2 linked regions of the Oreochromis niloticus genome follow. The protein of the gene in region 1 interacts with the protein of each later gene in a pairwise test. Links are inferred from orthologs where the notes say so. Each region holds a gene or a part of one and is shown in the gene's direction. Other genes may lie near its edges.

Evidence for each region. The genes of interacting proteins can lie anywhere in the genome.
Region 2: the proteins of zmynd19 (region 1) and enox1 interact in binary tests that used the Homo sapiens proteins (3 or more experiments, as listed by UniProt). The two-hybrid records come from large-scale screens. The link is inferred for Oreochromis niloticus from reciprocal best matches to the Homo sapiens genes ZMYND19 and ENOX1.

The regions. Positions count from the first base shown.
Region 1 is NC_031972.2:20,644,712-20,652,965, forward strand, and holds the start of zmynd19 (zinc finger MYND domain-containing protein 19), read left to right. Parts: upstream 1-5,247; 5' UTR 5,248-5,551; coding exon 5,552-5,602; intron 5,603-6,643; coding exon 6,644-6,703; intron 6,704-6,788; coding exon 6,789-6,895; intron 6,896-7,585; coding exon 7,586-7,726; intron 7,727-7,879; coding exon 7,880-8,060; intron 8,061-8,152; coding exon 8,153-8,254. UniProt on the Homo sapiens protein: May be involved as a regulatory molecule in GPR24/MCH-R1 signaling.
Region 2 is NC_031987.2:29,213,060-29,220,776, forward strand, and holds the start of enox1 (ecto-NOX disulfide-thiol exchanger 1), read left to right. Parts: upstream 1-4,426; 5' UTR 4,427-4,715; intron 4,716-7,717. UniProt on the Homo sapiens protein: Probably acts as a terminal oxidase of plasma electron transport from cytosolic NAD(P)H via hydroquinones to acceptors at the cell surface.

The DNA.
Region 1 (8,254 bases):
ACTCAAGCTGCTTGGTTTGAGGTTTCTGTAATACTGCTCCTGATCTCCAGAGGGCGCTGGCTCCCTTAACTAAACATAACGGGTGTTGGTGTGAGGTTCCAGACTGAGAGACCACAAAGATTATTTTAAATGACGACTCTACATGATAAGCTTCCTTAACAAGGATTCACTTTTAATGGTTTCATATTCCAGATTTTGCATGTTTCCTCTGCACATTCAGTCTGAAGAATAAAACTAATGGCATCTAAGACTGCATCTCTTAGCTGCGAGTTTAATTTGTTGTCTCTTTTCTGCAATTGCAAAATTGTTAGGATGCTGTAAATTGTCATGATCCCTGGGTCTTGACCCAAGGTGTTGTTTGTCTGTGTGTTTTGTGGTCATTTTATCTTTAAGGATCACATCCCTGTGTCTCTCTGTGTTCTGTCACCATGTTTGTCTTCTGTTCCTGTAAAGTTTGCATGGTTTAGGCTCTGTCTCAAAGGTAGCTATGTTTTCTGTTTTATTGTCATAACCTCTTGTCTCGTATGCATTGTGTTGAGTTTAACTTCCCTTGTCTTGTTATTCCTGGTTTGCTTCTGCTGTGTTTTCCGCCCGTTTCCTCCTCCCTCGTTATCTGCGTGTATATATTGTCTTAGTTTTCCTTGTCTCACCTTTGTAACTTTCTAGTTAGCAATTTTCTAGTATCTCCCCAGTTTAAGTTCTTTTATATTTTTATGTAGGGAAGTCCATGAATAAAGCTGTATTTTGAGTTCAATGCTGCTTCTGAGTCCTACAAAGTACAAAGTAACAAAATGTTTGAACTTGGAAAAGTAATTTTGAATTTAACAGCAGCAACAGATGTCAAAAATGTTTGGGACAGGGTTGTGTTTCTTTTAACAACAGGCCATAAAGGTAGAAACTAAGACGGCTGGCTGATGGGCTTTTGGTAGAGAAACGTTGCACCTCACACTATAGAAGTGCAGGCTTTTGAACTGAGTGCTGATAACATGCCGAATGGTCCCAGTCCTTTTTAGTCTAGAGGATGCGGCATCCAAAATTTCCAAAAACAATTTCAAATTCTGACCAAAGAACATATGGCTTCTTCTTTGCGTGATGGAGCTATCCTAACCTTTTGGATGCATGGTGTTGATAGGCAATGGTTTTTGGAAGTGTTCCTGAGCCAGTGCAGTAATTTCCATGACAGAATTATACCTGTGTTAGTGCAACCCTTATTTAATTTGTCAATTAAATAAGGGTTTGCGAGATTAGCAAATCATTGCAGACTGTTTTTATTTACAATTTACACAGCCTCCCAACTTTTTTGGAATTGGGTTAGTAGTTCCTGAAAACCCCCTTTTGTTTGATCAGCTCTTAATAAATGTAATTACACTATATCTACTTCCTCCTCTGATATCTTTTTTAATAGCATAAAAAATAAGAAAAAGCAACAAATCACAGAGGCTTGAATCTTTGGTATAACTTACAAATATACATCTTAGAGCAGATAACTCAGAAGGTGGTGAGGAAATGGTGTTTAGAAAACCTCCAAAGTGCTAGAATGTCTTAATATTTGTCACTGATTGAGATAAACAGGAACAACCACAGATTTCTTTTCAGCAATGTAGCCAGGCTGCTAAAAGTCAGAGCTCTCTTGAACCAAGTATTACTTTAATAGTAATGATTTAAAATGACTTAGGTTAATGACCTCCAGGATACAAAGTATTGAATAACCAGGCCCCACCATATGTTAAAGACCTCATAATTACCATATTATCCAAAGAGAATACAGACTACAGGCTTACTTATTGTTCCTTGGATTTTTAAATGAAGTTTGGGATGCAGATTCTTCAGCTTTCAGATCACAATCCTGTGGAACAAGCTCCCAGTCTGGATTCAGAAGACAGATACTCTCTAGGCATAACAGTTTCTGTTCTGATAAAGCTTCTTGTTAGGGTTCGACCAGGTGACCCTGGGGTTCCTCTGCTGCTGTAGTCTCAAGCTGCTTGGGGGACTCTGAGGATTCCTCTTCATTCCCATCTTTTCAGTCCCCATCTGAAAAGATGGGAGCATGTCCATATTTCGGGTTTTATCCTTTGTCTCTATACTCTTATTTTTCTCTTCTCATTCTCTTCAATCCCAACAGACAGCAGCAGATTGATGTTTTCCTGGAGCTTTCATCATGTTAAAAGGGAATTTTCCCTTCCTACTGTTGCCAAGTTCTTGGTGTTTGTGGATATCTGTAGGTGTTAACTGTACAAATGTCAAGACTAAAACATAAACAGAACCCACCACAGACCCTCTGATTTTGATACAACCTGTTGTACACTGCCATGTGCTGTCATGTGAAGAGGAAAGTTTTCTCTTAGCCCCATGGCTGGTTCTCGAGGAATTAAGGGGTTAAGTAGCACCTGGATGTTAAAGACGTGCATTTGATTTACTGATAATCAGATGTGACGACCTCTGGAAAAGCACATATATTGGTAGTTTGCTGGATAGTTTGGAGCATACATGTGTGTTCATGCAAATCCACCATCTGCACATTGATTTGCAAAGTCAAGCAAACTACAAGACCTGTGGAGCAATGTCCTTTGGACAGACCAGACCAGATTGGAGATGTCTGGAGAAAACCAAACACAGCATATCAGCACAAATGCCTAATACTCTCTGTCAAGCAGAGAGGTGGGAGATGTGGGGGATGTGGGCTTGTTTTGCAGCCACAGGAGCTGGACGTCTGTCAGTCATTGAGTTGATCATGAACTCCTCTGGAGAACAAATTATTCTAGAGTGAAATGTGAGGCCAGCTAAAGCTTGATTAAAACTGAGTCATTCAACATGACAATCATCGCAAACACAGCAGCAAAATTAGACTCCACTTCTGGTAATTTTATTTTATTTTTTCATGTAAATCCTTTTGATTATTCCTGCTAACAAATGAACAGACAAGCATTTGAACAAAGTCTTCTCGTTCATTTGAACAGAGCTGGTCAGCCTGTCTGTTGAGGCTGTCTGTCCAGGACAGCTAATGCTTAGCTACAACTGGATCATGCAACAGGACAATGAACCCAAGCAGAGCAGCAAATCTGCACCAGAGTGGCTGAAAAAGAAAAGAATGAAGGTGTTGCAATGGCTCAGTCAAAGTCCAGACAGAAATGCTGTGGTGTGACCTTAAGAGAGCTATGTGTAAACGAATAGTACGTCATAAAGAAGAGTGGGGTAAGACGGATAGACCCATACAGAAAACCAGTATTTCAAGTTATAGCTGCTAAACGTGGCTCTACAAGCTACTCAGTCACTAGGTCTACTTAGTTTTTCACAGGAGGGGATAAGGACCTGTGAATTTCTGTTTCTCATGACTGAATGCTGGCGTGTAGAATTACAGCTTACTGTAGCGTGATTCAACACACATAACAAAAGACTGAAATGAAGCAGTATTTGGAAGTAAAAACTGAGCTGAAATAACTGAAGCAACAAAATGAAAAAGATCACTCATACGGGAACAGTGCATTTATTTTACACCATATCACCATTGCTGACAAACACAGAATCCAGTATAAGGTGGTGAAAAGCCAAAATGTAATGGGATTGCGTAGCAACAAGTGGCACAGAAAGTTTGACATACATGAAGGAAGAAATGCCTTCCATTAAGCCCATTGTTCTTTCAGTGGGCTGGTTTCAGTCATTATGCAAATGTACTGTTTATAAGATTGGGGAAACCTGCAGTCAGTTGAGACTGACGAAGTCACTTGGATGAGTGACGAAACGTTTCTCCCACAAAACGCTACGTCCAGATGAACAGAATCAGCTTTTGGAGATTTACTTACCCGGGTGATTGAGCATGCATCAAGACATTATGCAGTCAGTAAGTGATTGTAAAAAGAAACCGATCTTTCAAAATCTTCAAAGAACTATATCAGGTTCAGTGTGTCTGTGTAGGTTCACAGTCGTCCAGGTCATGGTAGGTCTGGCTAGGTCAGCTATATTCCACACATGTAAAGAAAGCTCTTGAAACATGTGGTTATCTCAACTGGGCCTTGATTAAATCATCAAAGGGACAACTAGGGACAAACAGAAAGACAACTGGACAGCAATACTGTTTACCCTTGTGTAGCAGGTTTGTCAGAGAAACTTGGAAGAATTTTCTCCAAATTCCCAAACACAAGGTAAACAACATAGTGTATGCTGGGCAGTGCAGTGAGGCATGTTCATACCTCAGTATTAGAGAAACCAAACTGCAAATAAACCACAAACACATGGGCCCAAGACTCATCTCTAAGCCTGCACTTAAAGCACAATGGCAGGTCTTTTGAGGACGCAAAGTGTTCACATTTTGGACCGAGATGGCAGATTGCTTGAGAGAAGAGTAAAGGCACCCATCTACATCCACTGTAAACGACCATCGTTGAACAGAAAGGGTGGTTTACCAGAACATAGTCTTGAGGTCCCTTCCCAGGCTCTTAAACCCCCTTCCACATTCAGCCTTGACTCAGATGACTTCAGTGGGTCACATGGTTGGTTGAGGCAAGATCCCACAGTGATTTCACCCATAACCCCGGGTGATGGTGAATAGTTCACCCTTTTTTCACACCTTGATGATGTGATGACTCACATGATCAATAATTGGTTAATGACCACATCCATGGGACACAACCCTCACTAAGGTTTAAATAACCAGGACTCTCCACCTTTTGTTAGTAAAACAAATTAATCAATGAAAGATCAAACATCCTCACAAACCTAAAGAACAGCAATTACCTTTTTAAGCTCTCCATATCAGGTTTTTCAATTTGTTTTTTGCTCCTTAGATGCTAAAGTGATGGTAAACTATCATCTGAACACTGGCCAATTTTCTCATTTTATTATTTTTTGTTCTTGCATTGAGCTATAAACTGAATACACTGTGTACTTTATCCTTGATCCTGGACAGTAAGTGGCTCAGCTTTCTACTGACTTTTTTTTGTTCTTTTCTCTTTATTGTAATTATCTCTATTTTTCCAGTCTTAATGATGTTCTTTTATCCATGTCTACCAGTTTCTTTTATTCCACTGGGCTCAATGTTTACCTTATGAATCATTGTTAGCCTCCTACGCAATGCACATTCAATGCCTGTCGCCAAATTTAGCAGCAAACGACGCATCATGACGTCAAAGCCCTCTGCAATAATCCCACCCAGACATCAAACATTTCGCGCGAAAATGGCTGGAAGTGGTCACGAGAGTGTGATGACGTTGTAACTGAAAACGGGCGGTCTTTTGAAACTGCCGCTTCCTATTTGGCAGCGTAAGGTGACGTGTTGTATTAAAAAGCCTTAACGCCACGCTTGATTGGACGCTGCGGTTAGAGGTTCCTCCCGCCCCGCCCCTCCCAGCAGCAGCAGCAGCAGCTTGTTCGGCTTTCCTGCGCCAGCGGCGGTGTGTCACCGAGGCTGGGCTGCTGCCGGAGAGATCCGGACTCAGAGAATATACCCAACCATTTAACGCAACCTGGCAACCGGGGCTGAGAGGCGAGTTTTGAACCTGAATACAGTTTAGGCTGGACCCTGCGCCTCTTCTTGTCGCCACCGCCCGTCCTCCTGATGTCGGATTTCAAGCTCGGGATCGTACGGCTCGGCCGTGTGGCCGGGAAGGTGAGCTGGATCCCAGGGCTGCCATGTGCGGCCGGGGGAGGGCCCGCGGGGAAGAGAAAAGTCACCAGAAAAGACATAGTTAGCGATGCTCAATCAGCTCTAGCCAACCGAGTTGATTATTATGAAGCAGTCGCAAATGCGGGAGTAGTTCGGCTTTACCGATTTAAAGGCGTTTGAGCGGATTAGAAAAGCCGGCCGTGCCGAGCCAGACTGGTTTCTCAAACTCCGCCGCTAACGCTAGTTAGCATGTAGCGCGTTACGCTAGCCGCTGGCTAACATTTAACGATCAAACAGCGCCAGAAACGTAAACACGTGCTCAGTTTTTGTTACAGCCGCTGTCGGTGGAGTGGAAACCCCTCGGCGGTCGTGTCATACCCAAGACTCGGAGGTGCAGTTAGCAGAGCCACGCTAGCCTTGTTACTAGGATTACCCTCAAGTGTCGGCTAATGAGGAAGCCATTGCCATCAACTGATTCTTTTGTGCAGTGTGACAAAGCACCGGCAGGACGACACTGCCCAACATCTGTGCCTGTGTCGGCTTTGGCTTTAATCGTACTAATTAACGCTTGAAGCAGAAACTGTGGCGAGCGGTGGGTCAGAAAGCGCTCCCAGCTGCTGCCGCTGGAGTCACGGGACACACTGGGAATAAACCGTATTTGAGCCCTGACCAGCCGGCTGCCCACCTGCTGAATGACAGGGCTCCGGTCACTCAGCTGTAAACATGTCACTCGTGAAAACGCCACACACACATGCAATCATAGAAAGAAGAAAGTGTCACATTTATAGGTTTCATCTGTTTGATGTTGTGTTGCTGGAGAAGAGCTCAGATGTCTGTGAGACAGCTGGGACTGCTTCATAAAGGTGTTGCTGCTGTGCATGTGTAAAAAGTTTGGAAGGTTGAAACCTGTCCTAGAAGTAGTGCCCCTGTTTATGACTCTGCTAGTGCTAATTCACAAACAATGAAGCTCCCCTGAGAGTGGGGATGCTGTTGTTGCAGTTGTAGGTGTAAACATGAAAATAACCCTGAATTGTCTTATTTCAGACAAAGTACACGCTGATCGATGAGCAGGACATACCACTGGTGGAGAACTATGCCTTTGAGGTAAGTGTTTGATTTTTCACTACTGCTCTGATATCCGGATACAGTTGAGGAGAAAAAATATAGAGCGATGTTTTTCTGTTTCTAGGCACGCATGGAAGTAGATGCAGATGGCAATGGAGCTAAGATCTTTGCTTATGCTTTTGACGTCGGCAAAGGCCGCTGGGCAGGAAGGCCGCTGCACGAGCTGCTCTGGTAAGTCTGTTTAAACTGTGTCAAGGCGTTTTTGTTTGTTTTGTTGTTGTTGTTTTGTTTTTTTTCCTTTGACGCCATACCGTAGTCGTTTACACACTGCTTTAACAAGCGACAGGTCTCAGGTTTGATCTTTAGCTCATGGGCTTGAATCTGGCATTTAAAAATAGACAACCTGCCAAATCAAACATGTGGAGCTGCCTGCTGGAAGTAGCTTCTTCTGTGGTTGTTTTTCCTCTGCTGGAAAATCTGTGAGCATGCTTCTTGTGAAAGCACCCTCCATCCTAAGGCTCATCTTAGTTTAGTCAGTCTAAAATTTGTCAGATAGGATAAGTGGGTGCTGATGAGAATTGCTTCAGCTTAACAAAAGTAGGGGAAAGGCTAAAATTGCAAAAGGAATTCTTTCAGGGCGGCGTCACAGGTGTCACTTAAACCATCAACTGTTTAGCGAGCCAGCTTTCCACTTTCATCACTAGTCGTGAGAAATGGAGGTTGTATAGTAAACTAGTGCATGCTCAAGCTCTGTAGAGGACTTGGCTTTCAATGATGCTTCATATACGTCTTCAAAGCTCAAGTTCTGAGCTAGCATCAGCTCCTTACTGAGGAGTCCTTGGAATAAACACTCTTCTTATCCAAGATCAGATTTTTGCCCTGCTGGTTGCAGATTGGCTAACTTTTAATGTCTTTACCCAGGGAGAAGCACAGAGGAGGCATCGCCCCTAGTTTTCAAGTTATCCACATCAACTCTGTCACAGTGGACAACCGACTAGACAACCTGCGACTGGTTCCAGTAGGCTGGAGCCCTAAACCAGAGGAGATTTCCAGCAAGCAGAGGTAAAACATTGGTTATAGGTACATGTGAAAATGCTAGAAAGGACAAACCGGGCAGATGTTAAGGGGAAATGAGTCTTAAATCCTTTTGTGATTTATTCCAGGGTTATCCAAACAAGTAATGCATGCCTAACATTTCTCATGTTATCTGTACAGAGAGCAGTCCCTCTACTGGCTGGCCATCCAGCAGGTACCAGCCGACCCTGTGGAGGAGCAATATCTGGAGCTGAGTCGCACACGTTACTACAACGCAAATGGGGAGCTGGTGGAGGAAGAGGAGTGTTCCTGCACCTACTACGAGTGTCACTACCCTCCTTGTTCGCTCATTGAGAGGAGGGTATGTATTCCAACTCGTGTAGCAAAGCATTCCCATTCGAAAGCTTTGTGCTCTCAGAGCCAAAGATGATCTTCTTCCTTGTCTGTCCACAGCTGCGGGAGTTCAACATATGCGGCCGCTGCCAGGTGGCGCGCTACTGCGGGTCCCAGTGCCAGCAGAGGGACTGGCCGGCCCACAAGAAACAGTGTCGTGAG
Region 2 (7,717 bases), on another chromosome or scaffold:
TGTAACAAGACCTCAAACACCACTGGCTGAAATGCAAACCCAAACCATGACACAGCCTCCACCATGTTTTACAGATAGCTGTAGACACTCACTGTTGTACCGCTTTCCTAAATTATAACTTGATTGTAATTTGTTGTTTATGAAAGAATTGCAGAGTGACAAGTTTAACTATATTTTAGTGTTTGAATGATACTAACATAATGTAAAAAAATAAAATAAAAAAGCTGAAAAGAAAGCAGCTAAATGGGATAAAGAAGGTTAAAGTTAAAGTTCAAATGGAATTAAAATCAGGGTAAATATTTTGTAACCTTAATTGATATGAATGGAGTAGCATAGGTAGTAGAACCACATTATTAATCATATTTTGTCATGATGGAAATAATGGTAATTGCCAGAGCATATGATCCCTGTACAGTCCATGCGGTCACACTCAAACTTCCTCTATTTAGCATTTGTAACCATCAAAAAACCAAGTAGTGACTAGTTTATTATTTACTCCAATGAAGTTGGAATAAACTAAGACCAGCTTTTTAAGGAACTGATTAAAGCACTGCATTTGTCAGCAATATTTTATATCATTTCAGCTGTCTCGAGCTCTAACTAAAGTCATTAATGCCTTCTTTTTTCCATATTTACAGCAGCTTTACAACATATTACAACCCATTTATTAGAGTCATTTACTGCCTAACTTAAACAAAAGCAAGCGTCAGTGTGATTACAGTGTACAGGATTTGCCCCTGAAATCTGTACAGTACACAGGACAGTTTGTCAGCTGCTTTGCTTTCAAAGCCTCATTCCTGCTAGACGCGAGGAATGAGGAACCGCTGGGCTGCGAATGTCAGCTCTGTCTCTTTCTATGTGGAAACCTGACTCACCTGATGAGCAGGAGGATGTTGGATTTTCCATTGGGTTGTTTGTGAGCCACAGTGTCAGCAACGTAATTAACATCGGGTGCAACAGAACAACAAAGTAAAGAGAGAGAAAAACAAAGAGAAAAAAATGTGCTGATGGTGCTGCTGGGAGAGGTCAGCGAAGGAACTCGAAGGCATGCAAGAAGGATTTTACTGCGTGATGGGGTAAAGTGTGCTTCTGTGGCTCGTAAACTCTTTTATGCTTTATGGTACAAAAGTAATAATTAAAAAAAAAACAGCCAGAAGTACCCAATACTGGGAATAGCTGGGAGGATTCATTTCAACATTTAAAAACATTCAATTTTTTTTCCTTTGTATATTTCTGCACTTTTTCTTTTTAATCTCATAATTTTTATTATTATCATGATTATTTATTAATATATGAGTTTTTTATGATATACTATATTCCGTCATATTATGTATTATTTATTTTATTGTCAGTAGCCAAATGCAAAAGTGTTGAAACTATATATGTATATATATATATATATATATATACATACATATATATATAAGAGTTTATTTAGTTCAATTCTAGTTTTCATGTTCATAGTTGCATGTAATACACTTTAAATTGATTGGTTGCATGTGCCCTAAGCCACCACCAGAGGACGCCAGATATCCAGCTCAGATACCACCTGCTTCCTCATCGTCAGCCTGTATGTTTGATAACACATTTCAAACTTCTCAGCAACTTACCAACCAGAAACAGGAAGCTTCACACATACAGATGTGTTTTACCTCACTGTGTGTTACCAGGTTTAAGCCCCATCACAACCAAGCAGGCCTCCTTGCATCGTGTATATGAAATGTGACGCTGTAGCCTTGTCCCCAGTGGATGTCTCTGCTGCAGCTTTCTATTTTCCCACTCTGGCTGCCCACTGGGGCTGAAGCTCCCTGTCAACTCTCCTGCCAAGGTTACAGCCTGCTCCCACTGCTGCTGCTGCTGCTGAGGAATTTATTATCAGCATATATTTATATTTCTCCACTGGGATTGGTGCCTATTTCCATCTATATCTGTGTGGGGTTTTTTGGCATTGACATAAAGTGTTACAAAAATAAAGAAGGCCATACGACTCATTCATCTGCCTAGTGTGTATATCTGACTGCAACTATATTTAATTTAATGATAATGTACTGTATTGATCCTGCTTGTCAGGAACAGCCATGTATTTTCTGCTTTTACTAAGTGGAAAGATTGTATGCGATGGCTTCATTCGTTATAGATTAGGTAATCATTTACTAATGCTTATTAAAACAGTCGTAGCGTTTGAAGAAATGTCATTTTTTGACCACTTATTGCAGCTGGCTGCTGCATGGGTTGCCATATTTAATCTAAAGATGCCAGTGTAACAGCAGTAAAAGGGTCCCTACTTCTGCGATTGGGCACTTACGTTTTCTGTCAAGTATTTCTGCATGTTTTTTGTGCCTCACCACAGTTAGTGGGAAATGATTAAATCAAGCTGTGAATAAAGTTCAGTGAATTTCTCAAAATAATGCACTATGCGATTACAATGGAGAGCGATTTGGTTCATGGACAAAGGTGGCCTGTTTTCAGATTTCATGACAAATTTAAGAAGATTAAAGGTGTGGAGTTTGTTACAAGTGTTGCATTTGCATTTGGCTGCAATTTATGGGAACCTTAAACGTGGTAGTCCAAACAGATGCTGGCCCAAAGGAAGGAGGACATCATTAAGCTTTGAAAAAAGAAAAACTAGTTACTGTGGTCGGTCAACAGTCTGGTGCAATATGCACTGATGAGCTCAGCAACAACAAAAGGCTTGAGACCACTGAGGGATCACTGATGACAGAACATCACCGCCAAGCCAAGAAAGAGTAGAAAAAAACAGCATCGGGCCATGTCCACGGGTGCCAAACCCGACAGGACTGTGAGTCGTTATTAGGAGGGTTACAAAGGTTACATTTTTGCAGGTTAATGATGTCCTCCATCTTTTTCTCTCTCTCTCAATGACTGTCTCATTAATACAAACACAAAGCACATCCATTAAAAAAGTCTTGTATAATCAATTGGCAGTGCGGCTGCCGCAACAAACTAGTGTCATTATTAGTGGATAGATCTGTGTATAGAAAGTAAGAAAAGAGTTTTACAAGTGGAAATTTCACTGCACTGGGAATGTAGATGCTCATAATATATAAATACATTAAAAGCTGTGTAAATGTGCATCAAAAGAAATGTATTCCTAACTTAATTCAGAGTTCCTGACATTTTAGTTGCTTTTAGTTGTTTAAACCTTGTTATTTTTGATTGACTTCAAGCGTTTTGTTGGATAAATGAACCCCATGCCCAATTTTACTGTACTCGTTTTCATTGTTTTATAAGAGTGTGTGCCTGGTGGAGGACAAAAGCAAAGCATGAATGTGACTCCTGAGTGAAGTGAGTTAGTAGGTTTAGGAACACTGCAGAGGGAGATTCTGCTCAATGGTAAAATATTGATCTGTATTAAACCTAAAGCTGGCTCCACTGAGGTTTTTCGAGGCAGAAGTAGTAAAGCACACCCTGTTACAGTGTGACGTGTCACTGAAGAAACAAATAATTGATCAGATTTCAGCTGTTGAAAATGACCTGTTGGCCTATAATCTGTGAAACATACGTCAAAAATATCTCTCATGAATTATAGGGTTAACCCATTAATCTCTGGCTCGCCTCCACAGTGTGTCTTTGTTCTGTCTTCCTCCCCTCACCCACAGCCGGTCACAGTATGGGTGCCCCTCCCTGAGCCTGGTTCTGCTGCAGAAATGTCACACTGTTAAAAGGGAGTTTTTTCTTCCCACTGTCACCAAGTGCATCCGATTGTTGGGGTTTTCTCTGTTTTATTGTGCAATATAAACCAGCACGAGGGAACAGCTGTTGTGATTTGGCGCTAAACTACTTAAGAATTGAACTGAATTTCTATCACAAGGCAGAAACTGCAGCTTTTGACAAAGTGACTTTTATATATCTTTTATTTGTCCAGCTAAAAAGGCTCACTTTTGTTTTAACTGATCTGGCCAAGAGGGCAGCAGGAACAAACTCTTCATAAATCCTGTTGTCTTTAGTCTATTTTCCAATATAAGCAAAGACATTAGCCATAAAAAACACACACACACACACACACATAGGAAATCACTTTTTGGAACAACACCTGGTTTAAAGTGTGACCAGCAGTAGAACCCAAACCCACTGTTTCTGCTTTAGAGCTCCGGATCCTGGTGAAGTAACAACAATGACACATAGAGGACTCAGGTATGGCTCTGGGAGCTTATCTTTTTACTCTGGGATAAAGAGGCTTTACTGCCTTTTTTAACTTAAACCTACAAAAAATCAGTTGGTTCTCAATAATGTGGCTCCAAATTTCTGCCTCAATGTCGGGTTAATTGCTGAAGATGAAATATCAAACCAATAAGCGCTTTCTTTATTTCTTATTATTTTATGTCATAACCTAGTTTGACGCCTACCCCCCCACTCATTTCTCCCCCCCTGCTGTCCCAGACTCCACCGGCCGCTGACAGACACCAGACCCTGCCGTCGTGCACGTCTCTCTCTCTCTCTCTCTCTCTCTCTCTGCCTCTCTCTATCTGTCGGTGACGCGCTCCAAGGTTTCTTCCTACCGGAGGCATCAGCAGCAGCAGCGGCGGCGGCGATGTATCGGTGTCTGCTGGCTGAGAGCGCCTGAGAAGAGACACACGGAGGATTGTTCCCAGCTTCTCCCCCCCACACACACACTCACAAGCACCGGGATTTATTGCGCTGACGCAATTTGCGGATTTGCGGAGCATCTATCGAATCTTCCGCTGTGTGACCCGGTAAGATACGGAGAGGTGCGCTCTCTGCTGTGTTTTTGACCGGTGTGTGTGTTTCATTTCCCCGGTAGATGACACGCTCCTGTCAGCCCGCTGAGCGGTTTACTGGAAGGCGCTGATGCTTTTTCTCCCCCCTTTCTCTCTCTCTCTCTCGTTACTTCATCCTTCCGAGCTCAGTGTGAAACAGCGGGGTGAAACCAGAACCGAAGCTCTGTTAGTGACTGTTTATTCATTTTGGTTAACGGGGACTCGCTATTGACAACTTAATGCGGTGCCGTGGCGCTTTTCATCCAGCGGGGAGAGCAGAGGTGTCTGTAACAACGGGGCTCTGGATCCGCCTATTGTTCAACAGATTCTCCAATTAAAAGTGTAATCCAGCCAGAGTGAGGCTAGAAGTCACTAAGAGTAAAAAAGAAATCAAAAGGCGAATAAATGAGGACTGAAAGTGACCAAATAGAGGGTCAGCACTTCTGCTTCTAGAAAATCCAGAGGAGGGGGGAAGGAGATTAATTGCAAATGCACATCTGTTCACTCTACTCTTTGCACCTGAGAGGCTTCGTGTGTGATGGGTTTTTTCTGTGTGTGTTTGGTGGCGTTTAAATGCTGGCCCTGCTGCTGTGTGAGCTTATGTGATGCTGGTCTTTGGTTTTGGGGGGTGTGCAGGGGAGATCAGCTGTGGTGGAGGAAAGGATGCCCTTGCTATTAAGTCACCTTGACGACCCTTCAGCAGCACACACAGAGCTGCCTTTGTCACTGTCAGGCTCACACCAGTCACCTGCTTTCACATGCTGTCATAGCCGTGGAGCCATTACCAAATTGAGGCACTGGTTTGTTTTATGGGTCTGGCTCATTTCCTGGATGTTTAGTTGTAAATTAAAAGAGTATGTCCAATAAACTGAGCAGTGTTTGGTATTAATTATAGTGGAAATTGAGAAAAGGAATGTCACAGCTATTAAGTCTGGCTCTATTGGAGTTTTTAAGAAATAAGAGAGTAATTAAGGGGAAATGTTGAGGAAAACTAACAAAGGAAGATGATTTTCTTCATAGCTCACTCTGCCAGTTTGTGTAAAATCTATAAGGGAAATCCTCATTAAAGATGTCAAATGAAATAATAATGCAGTAAACAAAGTGTAAATAGGTTTAAGTTGGACAAATTACTAGAGTAAAGCACAGTCTTTAGTTTACATTGTGCTGATGCTGAGAAGCTCAGGATAAACAAGATGTTCTTGGTAACACATCGCCCGGGTGACGTCCTCAGCACCATGGAGAGATGGCGTCAGGGAGTGTTAATAACAAACACTTCCTTAAATCTGATGGTTAGGTGACTCAGGATGAACCAATACCAGGCCTCAGAGAGAGGGTCTCTCTGAGCGTCATCCAAGTGTTCGAGCTCAGTTTGTTGCACAATTTATTATTTGTTATGAATATTTCTTTTATTTAAATCTTGCAACCTTAATGGTAAAGTGGTATAATTTTGGCAGGTGACCTGTGACTTGTGAAAATTTGCAGGTTGGGAATATCAGCTTTAAGAGATTGATCTGCTATTAATTATCTCCATTAATCAGTTTTTACCTCTTAGACCAATATGATGTGGTTTTGTCTTACCATGAAACCTCAGTCCCCAAAGATATGCTGTGAAGTTTGCTAGAAAAAATTGACATGCATTTTTTATGAGTAATTTTTTTAAGCTGCACTGATTACAGTTTCATTGGCAGATTCTGATTTTTACAGATTTTTGCTAATTTTCTCTCTAAGACCTTTGCTCATAACGAGGCTTCTAGCGTGTAGTTGGCTCTATCTAGCCACTTTTCCTTTGTTAGCTTCTTTAAAATGTCCATGTTCACTTGTGTGAGGGTGTTTAAGTGTCTGACTGAGGTTTGCTGTTATGAATGTTTAGGTGGTGGTCCCCCAGTGATTCACTTTGGTATATTTTTTGTTTTCACTCATAGTGAGGAGCTTCCACACTAACAAGATGTTAGCTTGTAGCTGTGAGTGTCTGTGACTGTTTGCCTGTGCCACTGTGCATGTATTGTGCATGCATGAAATGAACCACCTCATTCTTGAGGCTGCTTACATGAGCCTGACCAGCTGGTCACTGGTCAGGGCTGAGAACACTGGGAATTGGATGATTTGGGTGTCTGACCAGTTGATCACATCATCAATAGCATGCTACAACATTGACACTTAATCCCATTTCAAACCAGCATGATTATTCCTTTTGGGATCTTGTGTTTTAGTCCTATAAACTGATTGACTCCCTTCTTGTTCTGATTTTGGTCTTTACCAAGGATTGTCTCTTTAGCCAATTTATGTTCCATTGTGAAGATAATCATTTGGATATGTTAAATACTTGCATTCTGTCTGATGGTCTTTGCAGTTACACGTGTAGTTAAAAATTAATTGGTTGGTGCTCACGATTCGACCTAAAGACTATATTATGGAGCAGGATTTTGTGTTATCTGGGTAACTTCAGGGTTAACCCTGGGTTTTCTGTGGTTCACTTCTTATCAGGGTATATCACCATGGTACCTCATGCTGCTCCAGGGCAGGTCATGTTCTAGATTAGAAATCAGCAGGTATGACATGCCAACCCAATGACCAATGAGCTCAAAGATCCCTCTGACCTCTGTGGGTAGGTAGTAAAAGGGTCGGATGTTATTTAATAATATCTAAAGTCGTTTCCTGATTAGCATCAATAAGAAAAATGGATTCTTAAACATAACCTTATTCTTTAAGTTATTTTCCTGTTGGCTGTATTTTTTAAAATAATAATATTGTTGTATAAGCATTAATATATAACCCTAAAACTGCAGACCTATTTACACGTGTTGATTTTGTATCAAATCAGAGTCCAAGCCTTTATTCAGTTCTTGCTTTCAAACCGTTAAACACCACCAAGGCTGCAGCTGAAAGAATAAAAACCGTCTTCTAAACATTAATTGAATGAAATGCTTGATTATAATTGATCAGATTCTCTTGCTTCTCAATGACAGAGCTGTAATGTT